Linked DNA regions of Xenopus tropicalis. The protein of the gene in region 2 purifies or fractionates together with the protein of the main gene of each other region. This does not show direct contact. Links are inferred from orthologs where the notes say so. Each region holds a gene or a part of one and is shown on either strand. Other genes may lie near its edges. The genes, in order: stau1, lrrc59 and ybx1.

Region 1 (3,650 bases), about 5.7 Mb from region 2:
CTTGAAATTGCTGTCTGAGCTGGACCAACAAAACCCAGAGATGCCCAGAACAGGAAATGGACCAATGTCTGTGTGAGTTCTGATTTCTAGTCTCTGATTGGGTAATACACAACCCCTGCTCCTTAAAACAGCCCATATCGGCTGATAATCAAAGGCAGAGAATTGTAGTGGGCGGGCCTGGCAATCTGTAGGGGCTGATGTAAGATACCATAGATCAGGGGTGGCCAAAACGTTGATTGTGGTCCACCAGTCGATCCCCCATGGATTTCTGGTTGACCGCATCGAAGCCGGAAAGTGCGGCGGTTCAACGCATTTATAGGGTATGCGTACGTACGTGGAGAGGGGCCAAAATATGACCGCTGGGGGAAAAGTCTGGGCACCCCTGCCATAGTCTATTCATTGGGCTCTTAGTCCAGACCCAGCAGTGAGGGTGGCAGTTGCCATGCCTGGCTATTTGATTTGCTATCCCTAGCTCTCGGGTAGAGTAATATGCACATTTAAGGGACATGTCAACCCGAAAAATAATTTTTTGCATAATAAAAGAAAACATCATTCTAAGCAACTTTGCAATATACATTCATGACAAATTTGTAATGGTTAAAGATATTTGTATATATAATTGCTATTAGAAGCAGTGTTTGTCCTTTTCTATTCTCTGTCCTGGAGGCTCCGACTCAATAAAACAATGTAGCACAAGGCAGCAGGGTGACTGACCTTTGCAACTTTGTTTAAAAAGTCATAACCAGGAGTTAAGCAAATGCTGTTCCGTTGGAATCTAATCTAGAGAGAGAGAATCTGTATATCAGTACAGGTATCGGACCCCATATCCGGAAACCCGTTATCCAGAAAGCTCCGAATTACAGAAAGCCCGTCTTCCATAGACTCCATTTTAATCAAATAATTCAGAATTTTAAAACTGATTTCCTTTTTCTCTGTAATAATAAAACAGTACCTGTACTTGATCCCAACTAAGATATAATTACCCCTTATTGGGGGCAGAACAGCCCTATTGGGTTTATTTAATGGTTAAATGATTCCCTTTTCTCTGTAATAATAAAACAGTACCTGTACTTGATTCCAACTAAGATATAATTACCCCTTATTGGGGGCAGAACAGCCCTATTGGGTTTATTTAATGGTTAAATGATTCCCTTTTCTCTGTAATAATAAAACAGTACCTGTACTTGATCCCAACTAAGATATAATTACCCCTTATTGGGGGCAGAACAGCCCTATTGGGTTTATTTAATGGTTAAATGATTCCCTTTTCTCTGTAATAATAAAACAGTACCTGTACTTGATTCCAACTAAGATATAATTACCCCTTATTGGGGGCAGAACAGCCCTATTGGGTTTATTTAATGGTTAAATGATTCCCTTTTCTCTGTAATAATAAAACAGTACCTGTACTTGATCCCAACTAAGATATAATTACCCCTTATTGGGGGCAGAACAGCCCTATTGGGTTTATTTAATGGTTAAATGATTCCCTTTTCTCTGTAATAATAAAACAGTACCTGTACTTGATCCCAACTAAGATATAATTACCCCTTATTGGGGCAGAACAGCCCTATTGGGTTTATTTAATGGTTAAATGATTCCCTTTTCTCTGTAATAATAAAACAGTACCTGTACTTGATCCCAACTAAGATATAATTACCCCTTATTGGGGGCAGAACAGCCCTATTGGGTTTATTTAATGGTTAAATGATTCCCTTTTCTCTGTAATAATAAAACAGTACCTGTACTTGATCCCAACTAAGATATAATTACCCCTTATTGGGGGCAGAACAGCCCTATTGGGTTTAATTAATGTTTTATTTATTTTTTAGTAGACTTAGGGGCTGATTTACTAAGACACGAATTCGAATCCGAATTGGAAAAATTCCGTTTGGAAAACGAACATTTTGCGACTTTTTCGTATTTTTTGCGATTTTTTTTCGGCGTCTTTACGACTTTTCGGAAATTATCACGACTTTTTCGTTACCAATACGATTTGCGCGAAAAAACGTGAGTTTTTTCGTAGCCATTACGACTTGCGCGAAAAAATGCGAGTTTTTCGTAGCCATTCCGAAAGTTGCGCAAAATCTGGCGATTTTTTCGTAGCGTTAAAACTTGCGCAAAAAGTCGCGCCTTTTTCGTAGCATTAAAACTTACAAGGCGCGACGTTTCGTGCAAGTTTTAACTCTACGAAAAAATCGCGACTTTTCGCGCAAATTTTAACGCTACGAAAAAATCGCCAGATTTTGCACAACTTTTGGAATGGCTACGAAAAACTCGCGTTTTTTCGCAAAAATCGTATTGGTAACGAAAAAGTCGCGATAATTTCCGAAAAAATCGCAAAATACCGATCATTACGAAAAAAAACGCAATCGGACGCATTCGGCCCGTTCGTGGGTTAGTAAATGTGCCCCTTAAGGTATAGAGATCCAAATTACAGAAAAGATTCCTTATCCAGAATACCCTTGTTTCCGAGCATTCTAGATAACGGGTCCTATACCTGTATATACTTTAAACTTTTCCTATTTTTATATAAGCTACAAATACACCGTAAGCTGTAAATGGAGAGTAGCTGTCCTGTGACCTACATTCTGTTCATAAATACTTCTGTACAGTGTCTGTAGGCCAGGAATGCTGGGAGTTGAAGTTCAGCAGTTGGTGGCTTCCTGTTTGGTTTGGGGTCTGTACCTCAGTGTTGGTTGTTCACACTCACACACACACACACACTTCCAAACAAACAGGGTACCTGGACTGTGTTAGCCCGTGTGTGTGTGGGCCAATCCCTACTGATCGTATGTAATGTTATGATGCAGGCTGCACACTTAACCCTTTCTTTAAACAAGGTTTTGTTCTCCTGCAGATGTGTAAAACCCGAAATGGAAAGTGATCCTCTCCTCAAACCGGCTAACTCAAACACCTTGGGACAAACACTGGACAGTACAGCCTGATACAGGCCTTCCGGCTGAGCCCGATCCTAAAAGCACCGAAGAAAATCAAAACGTCCTCGTCACTTAGAGTGCTTCCACCATCGCCATTTACCTCTCGGCACTGTATAACCAGAGAGCAGGGGTCAGGGTGGCTTTTTAGCTGTTGTGAAGTCTGAACCGTCATTGTCATTGGAGGCTCCCCATAATGCACATACACTTATGGCAGGTATTTGGGTTATGGACGACCTCTGGTTGCACATACCTGCCAATAGTGAATGGGGAGGGGGGGGGGGGCAGACATTCATGAACAGCTAAAGAATCACCCTAAAATGGAACAGTCTCGGTATTACTAATGTTTTTTTGTTTTGTCTAGAGACTCGGTAAATACAATATTAATTGTACCCAGCGGCCTAGAATCCTCAACACATTTCATGTACTGATCAGATCATATCCTCGCGTGTGGTTGTGTATATGTATCTACAATATGTCTTTTTTTTTTTTCCTCTTGTTTTATACCATGCTAGTTATTAAACAATTATGTGCTGTGCCCTACACGGATGGGGAAAGGAAAAACGTTGAATTAGAAAAAAAAAACCATAGTAGTAAAATTTTCATTTTTTAGGCATTTTATTAATTGTATTTTTATTTCTCTTTTGTTTTGTGTATAAATTAAATTGATGAGAGTTTTGTTTGTATGTGAGGCACGCCGGCTATACGGCCGCA
Region 2 (4,250 bases):
AGGAATATGATTATATATAGGTATCAAGCCATTATTGCATTAGGGGTATCAGGGGCATTGTCTGTAATATGTGAATATATTCATGCTATTTTCTTTTGTTTCATACTATGAAACAAATAAAAAACAAATAAACATTAGATAGCAACCATAATATAACTTAATATACACTGGGGAACCATACTTTTCAGAGCTCTGGAGCCCAAAAAGACAACATTGAACCAGACAGCACTGGGTGGGGGGGGGGGGGGGGGGGGAAGGCTGTCCTGTCCAAAACCCAACAGGTGACATCCCTATGGGGGCTATGATGTGACAGAGCACTAGAGGGGGGCTCAAGGAAAGGAAAAGGTATGATTTAGGGTGAGACAAGGGCTTAGGTGAGAGGGCCAGGAGCTAAATTAGAGATTATTATACCAGCACTGGCCTTGGTGGGTGTTTTACTGGCCTTGGCGGGTAGCAACCCTGCTCCATGTCAGGATATGCCATGTCTAGTCACGACAGTTGGGTTGGAAGGGGGATATTTCACTTCCCCAGACTTACAATTAGACCCTAGATCTACTAGGGCAAATGATCCAACCAACTAGAGAAGGTACAGTCCTAGCAATTAGGTGTCAATAGTCACCCAACACACTGTGTAAGAGCATTGGTGCTTGGCTATAACCAGACTGAGAGCCCACAACCATAACAGGCATTTGGCCAACATGCTGTCATTTTAACCCCCAATAATGACACTGTATGCATGTAGAGTCGAACTGGGCCCCGGGACACCGGGAAAAATCCCTAGTGGGCCCCGGCGGCCCAGAGCCCCGACCCTTGCAGCGCTCCCCCTGCCCGACCGCTCCTGCCCCGACGCGTTACATTTACGTGCTCGGGAAAGGCCGTAGGGTGGGGGCCCTTCAAGTGGTGTTAGGGGGGCCCCTCGGGGGGGAGGCTATGGGCCCTTCACCCCCCAGTCCGACCCTGTATGTATGTATGTATACCTTTATTTATAAAGTGCTACTTATGTACGCAGCGCTGTACAGTAGAATAGATTAATACAAACAGGGGGTTAATAAGATAATAATAGATAAATACACAGTATAACAATAAATACAGATAAATACAAGATACAGTTGCAATAAGTTAAGACTCAAAGACACAAGAGGATGGAGGTCCCTGCCCCGTAGAGCTTACAATCTATATGGGAGGGATATATTACCTGAACTTAAATCAAAGCTGTACTGATTAGTGTAAATCCATCATAGAGGCAGTTTCCCAGCCACATAACGACTTCCTTTGGCCTTAGAGCATGAGGGAATTTGCTAAAGAAACTCTGACTGTGGTACTGAGTTAGTTACATACTGATTATCCGCCACTGGGGGCGCCCTTCGCTTCCAGGCACAACTCTATGGTTCGGCCCGTCTGTCCCCATTCCCCGACTCGTTGGCTGGAATGTTTGAGTCTGACGTGGATCAGGAAGCTGCTGCTCAGGGATCGGAGTGCGGGGAGACACGCAGGCAGCGCAGTGAGGCAGCCGGGAAGGGGAGAGGTAGGTGGGAAGGGGAGAGGTAGGTAGAACGGGGAGAGAATAAGGGGCTGTGGTTCTTGGGGAGGATGGAGGGTATGTTACAGTATGGGGAGGCTGGGGGTGGGAAAGGCAGCTGGGGCAGGAGGGATGGGACCTGGGGGGTTATGGCTGGGTAAGGAGCGGAATTGAGTTCTACTGGGGATTATAGGGATTAAAGCTGGGAGATCAGCACTGAGATAATAATGTATTGAATGCACCTTGTGTGTAACTGATGCCTTTGGTACTTGCTAAGGTTTTTGGGAAATGATGCCTTAGGATAAGTACTGAGCTGTAGGCTTGCTGAGGATCTTGGGAAATTATTCCATAAGATAAGCACTGAGCTATAGCTGCTGTAGGCTGATAGGCTTGCTGGGGATCTTGGGGAAAAAATGCCATACAATAAGTACCGAGTTGTAGGCTGATAGGCTAGCTGGGGATCTTGGGAAATTATGTCATAAGATAAGCATTGAGCTGTAGGCGGATAGGCTAGCCGGGGATCTTGGGAAATTATGCCATAAGATAAGCATTGAGCTGTAGGCGGATAGGCTAGCCGGGGATCTTGGGAAATTATGCCATACAATAAGTACTGAGTTGTAGGCTGATAGGCTAGCTGGGGATCTTGGGAAGTAATGCTGTAGGCTGATAGGCTATCTGATGATCTTGGGAAATTATGCTGTAGGCTGATAGGCTAGCTGGGGATCTTGGGAAATTATGCTATAGGATAAGCACTGAGCTAAAGCTGCTGTAGGCTGATAGGCTAGCTGGGGATCTTGGGAAGTTATGCTGTAGGCTGATAGGCTAGCTGGGGATCTTGGGAAATTATGCTGTAGGCTGATAGGCTAGCTGGGGTCTTGGGAAATTATGCTATAGGATAAGCACTGAGCTGTAGCTGCTGTAGGCTGATAGGCTAGCTGGGGATCTTGGGAAATGATGCCATAAGATAAGCACTGAGCTGTAGGCTGATAGGCTTGCTGGGGATCTTGGGAAATGATGCCATAAGATAAGCACTGAGCTATAGCTGTGGTGTCTTTGCAGCGAAATGGCACGAGCGAACGGAAGATCCCAGAACCTGAGGGACAAATTGGACGGGAATGAGCTGGACCTGAGCCTGAGTGATCTGAGCGAAGTGCCTGTTCGGGACCTGGTGAGAGATTTATTGCCGTCTGTGCCCAGTGTATATGAGCCTGATGGAGCTTGGGCCCCCCATTACATTCAGTTTGCCTCCCCCCGTCTGGTAGTGACCCCTCCTTCTCTTTCAGGTGGCCATTCCCAAGGCGACGGCTCTGGACCTTTCCTGTAACAAGCTGACTTCCTTACCGGTGAGACTCTCATCTGGGTTTAACAGCAAGTGAAATGTTCCGTGTCTGCATTAGGGATGCACCAAACCAGTATCCCCACTTGGGTCCAGTTAACCAGACCGATTCTCAGGGTATTTAGGCTTTAAATAAGTTTAGTATCATGTATCTGGTACTATTTTGAGACAATTTACGTGACCCACCCCTTTAAAGTAACATGGCTCTGAGTCAAATCCTCAAATGAGTGCCCCCCTAAACTGCATGCAGGATTCCTAACCTTCTAAGCTGCTGCATCATCTGCAGGATCTTACTCTTCCCCTTGCAGTTGGTCTCTGTGGCTGTAACTGCGACTCCCTGCATCTCGCCATACTCCCCACAGCCTGAGGCTCATGATCTTCTCTTTCCGCAGGATGATTTCTGCAATCTGAGTTACATAGTGCGACTGGATCTCAGCAAGAATCAGATAGCGCAGCTCCCTTCAGAATTCGGCAGGCTGGTGAACCTGCAGCATCTGGACCTGCTACAGAACCGCATAGTGGCGCTGCCTGTCTCCTTTGCACAGTTGAAGGTGAGGTCTGGTGGGGTGTGAGGGAGGTGCCTGAGCACTGGAGGGGGTAGTGTGAGCCGTTGGCCTTGGCTGAGAGATCTGGGCTACAGTGTGTATTGTAGGCATGATAGAAGGGTGGGGTCAGAGCTCTATTTACAGGGGTTTTATAGGAAAGGGTTGAAGCCAGGCCCAGGTTTGTGGGCAGGCCACAAAGGCCCAGGCATAGGGCAGCAAATATTGGGGGGCAGCATTCTGGCCACATATGTACTGGGCGGGAGATTTTGGCAACTATGTGAAGTAATCATGCTGGAAAGGTGGCAGTAGGTGTGAGTGGTGGGGAGGTGTGAATAGCGGGGGGGGGGTGCAAACAGCTGAGAGGCCGAGGGGCACACAAGGTTTAAATCCGGCCCTGGCTGAAGCACAATTTGCATGTAGTCTGTGGTTATATGAACACTGTGATGAGGCCTGGTGGTGCGAGAGAAAGAAGTGTGTGGATAGTGTAGAGAGCAGTGGGGGCCTCTGGCCTTGGGGGTAGATCTTGCCAGAATAAGGATTGTAGGCAAGGTACTAGAGTGCACACAGTGTGCATAAGATCAGCTGATAAGCGAACATTCTGCATGGCTGCATAACCAAATGTTGTGGTTGCTAGGGTTCAGCTGACCTTAGCAACTGGCAATAAATTGAAAGAGTGTTTGCAAAGGTAACATTTGAATAGGAAGCAATGTGCAGCCCTAGCACAGGATTAAGGCTGCCATACACGGGCCGATTCTAGCTGCTGATATCGGTCCCTTAGACCAATTCCAAGTGAGCGGATCTTAGCGTTTATGGCCACCTTAGATGGTTCGTTGATAGTATAGGAGGAACA
Region 3 (4,082 bases), on a different chromosome or scaffold from region 2:
TGTAGAATACAATGGTGTCTTATCTGTTATCGGCTATGTGCCTGTGCCTTTTCTCCAGCTTGAATGGCTGCCCCCATGGCTACACAGAAGCTTATTTATATAAACTATAGTAGTGTTTCTGAAGCAAACACCCCAGTTTTACCAGCGCAGGGCCACAGTACATTATATTTCAATTACTTTAAAACACTTTCATTTTTTGGTGTTACTGTTCCTTTAATAGACCAGTAATCAGTCAGTGTTGAACCATGAATTGTCAGCTCATACATCATTATTGATCTGACCTAACCAGTCAGAAAGACTAATTCATATTATTTAATTCTCATTTGCTTTTGTGGAGTTTTATTAAAATTATATGAGATAGATTTTAATGTGTCTTAAACTATCACATTTATATTAGTATTTGCGATGTGCATGCTGTTATTGCAGCTATGGAGCATACTGCAAGTTAGGCTGTGCAAGTGTACTGCTGATGTGACTATTCCCGCTATTATTAAAGCCCATTTATAAAACACTAATATACTCTGCTGTGTAATGTATTTGGGAAAATATAAGCAATAAGGCAGAAATTACACCATTGCGAAGAAACAAACAGAAATCAAGACATGAGGTCGGGGGGGCCTGCCCGTTAGACAATCCGAGGATTAGGAAATAAGCAATACGCCATACTTCCATAAAACCTTGGATTTGGACTCAGCGCCATAACAATAGACAGAGTCCGTTGCCTAAGCACAACCCCTTATATGAGTGATCTGGTATCATTACCTTCAGCTCATAAGGGCTGATGTGCCGGGAAACAGCTGAACTAAACACAAGTCAAATATTGAGGTACCTGCCCAATAGTTTATTGCATTTATCCTACCCCCCACACCTTACACTTTATTGATCACTGTTTATATCAGCCTTAGAGCTCAACAGCTACATCCCATCCAATAATGCAGACGCTAGAGGCAGAGACTAATCCCTCCAATCCTGTTATTGACATCTGCCTTAGCCAATAAGATTACAGAAGGAACACATCCAAACAGAGCGCGTCGATTCTTGATTGACAAGCCATTCGACCATACAACTGCAGAGTTTTTTACTAAACCCGTAGACTGACAAGCCAATTGACCAATAGGATAATAGCCAGGGCGGGATGTCTGCGATGATTAACCCGTCTGTAAGGCCATTGCCAGGCAGTTCGATCGGTAGCGGGAGCGGAGAGCGGACAGCAGGGAGCTCGAAAGGCAGCAGCCCCACCGCCGGCCTGAGTTACCATCAACACCCCGGGGGGAAGTTAAAGCGAGCCAACCGCCGGCCCGAGTCACCACCTCCGAAAGCAGCCAACTTACACCATCAAAGACACAATGAGCAGCGAGGTTGAAACACAACAGCAGCAGACAGTCGCATTGGAGGGCAAGGCCGGCCAGGAACCGGCGGCCACCGTGGGGGAGAAGAAGGTCATCGGTAAGTACGATTGAATTAGCATACGAGAGATGCCTCTCGGACACAGGCAGGGCTGGGTATTTGGCGCGTCAGGCTCAATATGACTACTACTCCCAGCATCCCCTGTGCAGTCACGTTGGTTAAGGCGATTACTAGATATTTGCACAAACAGGCGCGGTTATCTGTTTATTTATAGTGTGAGGGAGCGGTTTTCGCTTTTACTATAGGGCGCGGGTGAGTGGCGGTTACACCGACGTGGAGTGTCGTGCCACGCGGAGTTGTTGGTGACGGATCTCTGCCCCCCCCGGCGCCGTGACATCACCCCCCCCCCCGCAGCGCCGTGACATCATCCCTTCCTGTGTCCTGAGAGGAATAGGGCCTGTAACATGTCCGCCGCCGCCTGCGGCCTACACCCCCCCCACCTCCTCTTTTGTATGCCGCCGCGCCTTTGCTGGGTCCCCAGTAGCGCCTCTGGCCTCACGTTTGCTTTGCAAACATACGGGGGAGTGTGAGGGCCGTGATGGCGCTGGGAATTGGCGGCTCCGTGTGTCCCGGCTGCTCGGGTTGCGGCTCTGGCCCGGCTCCAGCCACGTGGTGTGTGAGTAGTTGTGGCACGGAGCTGCTCGTACCGCCTGGGCCTGAGCGGGAGGGGCATGAGAGCCATTTTAGTCTATCTTTGCACTCGGCTTGCTTAGTAGCAGCCTTTATAGCGCTTGGCAATAAACGGGGATTCTGGGAGTTGTAGTTTTTCATTTGAAAAAAAGAATTGACAACACTCTTATGGCCCCAAATAGCAATGTTTGTTTGCTGATGCCTTTAATTGTAATTCCGTGTGTTTATATAGCAGTGAGTGGGAATGCACACAACCAGTTGCATTACTTTCCCTCAGGAAATGTTGCTACCAGGGCCATGGGATAGGGCTTTGTTTTTGTTCCTCTTCCCCCATCCACCCCCATCCATCCTACTCAATGTAATTACTGTATAGCTGTGCCTGGCCCAGTAGCCATTGAAGTTGTATGTCCAGATAGCCATTAAACTAGCAGTGTTTATGTATTGCTTTGGCTTGTATCTCACTGGCTGCTGATCAATAAGTTGCATGTAACTAGTATTTATAATTTCTAATTATTTTTTTTTGTAAAAGTTAGCTTTCCAAACCACCACCCACCCCCTGTGTTTATGGTGCTACTGTGCTGCCAGAAAGTGATTGCTCTATTGTGCATATTAGATTGATCTTGTGCCTCACTCCAAACTAACGATTTTTTATTTTCTTTCAGCAACCAAGGTTTTGGGTACGGTCAAATGGTTTAATGTGCGCAATGGTTACGGCTTCATTAACAGGTGAGTTCATATTTCTGCCCCAACTTAGATTAGTAATTTGGTAAACTTGTTACAGCCTGCCTGACCCTTCGGGGCCATGCACGTGGTACTTCCCATAAATGCTTGTTTTAATATGGTTTAGCAAGTATATATTCCAGGATATGCGGTTAAGCAATACCAGAAGTTACTTAAATTACTTAACACTTGGGGAAGGCATAGTTTAAAAATGTTTTTATAGAGATGGGGAGCTGCTGTATTGCTTGCTTCCTAAGTAGCACTGCCTACCGGTTTCAGCGCTGTACTTCTATGAATGCCTGTGCCAAGAAAATGATCTTTGCCTGTCGCTGTTGTAGAAATTCAGATACACAACAAAAACAGTAATTGCACCCAGTAGCCAGGGCTGGCATGCTTTAATTCAGCTTTCCCTTATCCTTTCGACTGTATCTTAAGATTTTTCTGCTTTTTGAAAGGAAATGTACTTTTTTCACATAAACCAAATAAATCGGTTTGTTAAAAACAATTATATAAGATGGCTTCTTTCCTAAAATGTCAGAAATGAGCTATATGATGTGGGCTTTATGGAGAAAAAAAGGATGCTGGTTGAAATATATTTTCATTTGCCCATTCTTTGTCTAAAGGCAATGCTTTGTGGTTGGTAGAAAAAATGCCTTTCCAGCATTATTCCTATTTTTGTGCTTATGTTGCCTTTAGTGTTTGACCTATACATATAAATTAATTTGCACAGTACAAGCCTTTAATCTATTTTTGTTTTGTTTAGCTTTGTTGTGCTGTGAAAATTTCTACCTTTTGTCGTTAACATTTTGTTTTTATCCTTATAGGAATGACACCAAGGAAGATGTGTTTGTACACCAAGTAAGTATTCCACTTATCTGGGTTTTTTTTACAGATGTCTAGTCCAATCTAGTATAGAAAATGTATTCTATAACTTCTAATATGGTAACTTGTATTTGAGTATAGTGTTGATCAAAGCGGATTGCCTTGGTGTAATAAAAGAATGCATACTGAATAGAAAGTCATGACTGTTCCACAGTTGGATAGGACATTTTCCTACACCTTTTTATATTGCCATGGAACTAGATAGAGCAAAAGCAGATTTAATCAGTTTTCAGCATTTGTTCAGATTTCTTTTAATGTCTTTTTATTTAAAAAAAAAAATATATTTTTTTTAGACTGCCATCAAGAAGAATAACCCTAGGAAGTACCTTCGCAGTGTGGGAGATGGTGAAACTGTTGAGTTTGATGTAGTGGAGGGTGAAAAGGTAAGACTATCAAAAGGGTACGAGGATACGTTTTACACAAGCTACAAGTGTATATTTTTA

What was found.
Region 1: the proteins of lrrc59 (region 2) and stau1 purify together in Homo sapiens (affinity purification with mass spectrometry; 3 studies listed by BioGRID). This does not show direct contact. The link is inferred for Xenopus tropicalis from reciprocal best matches to the Homo sapiens genes LRRC59 and STAU1.
Region 3: the proteins of lrrc59 (region 2) and ybx1 purify together in Homo sapiens (co-immunoprecipitation; 3 studies listed by BioGRID and IntAct, with this or other methods). This does not show direct contact. The link is inferred for Xenopus tropicalis from reciprocal best matches to the Homo sapiens genes LRRC59 and YBX1.

What each region holds. Positions count from the first base shown.
Region 1 is NC_030686.2:38,163,103-38,166,752, forward strand, and holds part of stau1 (double-stranded RNA-binding protein Staufen homolog 1), read left to right. Parts: coding exon 1-72; intron 73-2,860; coding exon 2,861-2,948; 3' UTR 2,949-3,650. UniProt on the Homo sapiens protein: Binds double-stranded RNA (regardless of the sequence) and tubulin.
Region 2 is NC_030686.2:43,884,572-43,888,821, forward strand, and holds the start of lrrc59 (leucine-rich repeat-containing protein 59), read left to right. Parts: upstream 1-1,430; 5' UTR 1,431-1,525; intron 1,526-2,578; 5' UTR 2,579-2,582; coding exon 2,583-2,687; intron 2,688-2,802; coding exon 2,803-2,862; intron 2,863-3,247; coding exon 3,248-3,406; intron 3,407-4,250.
Region 3 is NC_030683.2:94,733,913-94,737,994, reverse strand, and holds the start of ybx1 (nuclease-sensitive element-binding protein 1), read left to right. Parts: upstream 1-1,191; 5' UTR 1,192-1,346; coding exon 1,347-1,446; intron 1,447-2,699; coding exon 2,700-2,763; intron 2,764-3,581; coding exon 3,582-3,615; intron 3,616-3,932; coding exon 3,933-4,022; intron 4,023-4,082. UniProt on the Homo sapiens protein: DNA- and RNA-binding protein involved in various processes, such as translational repression, RNA stabilization, mRNA splicing, DNA repair and transcription regulation.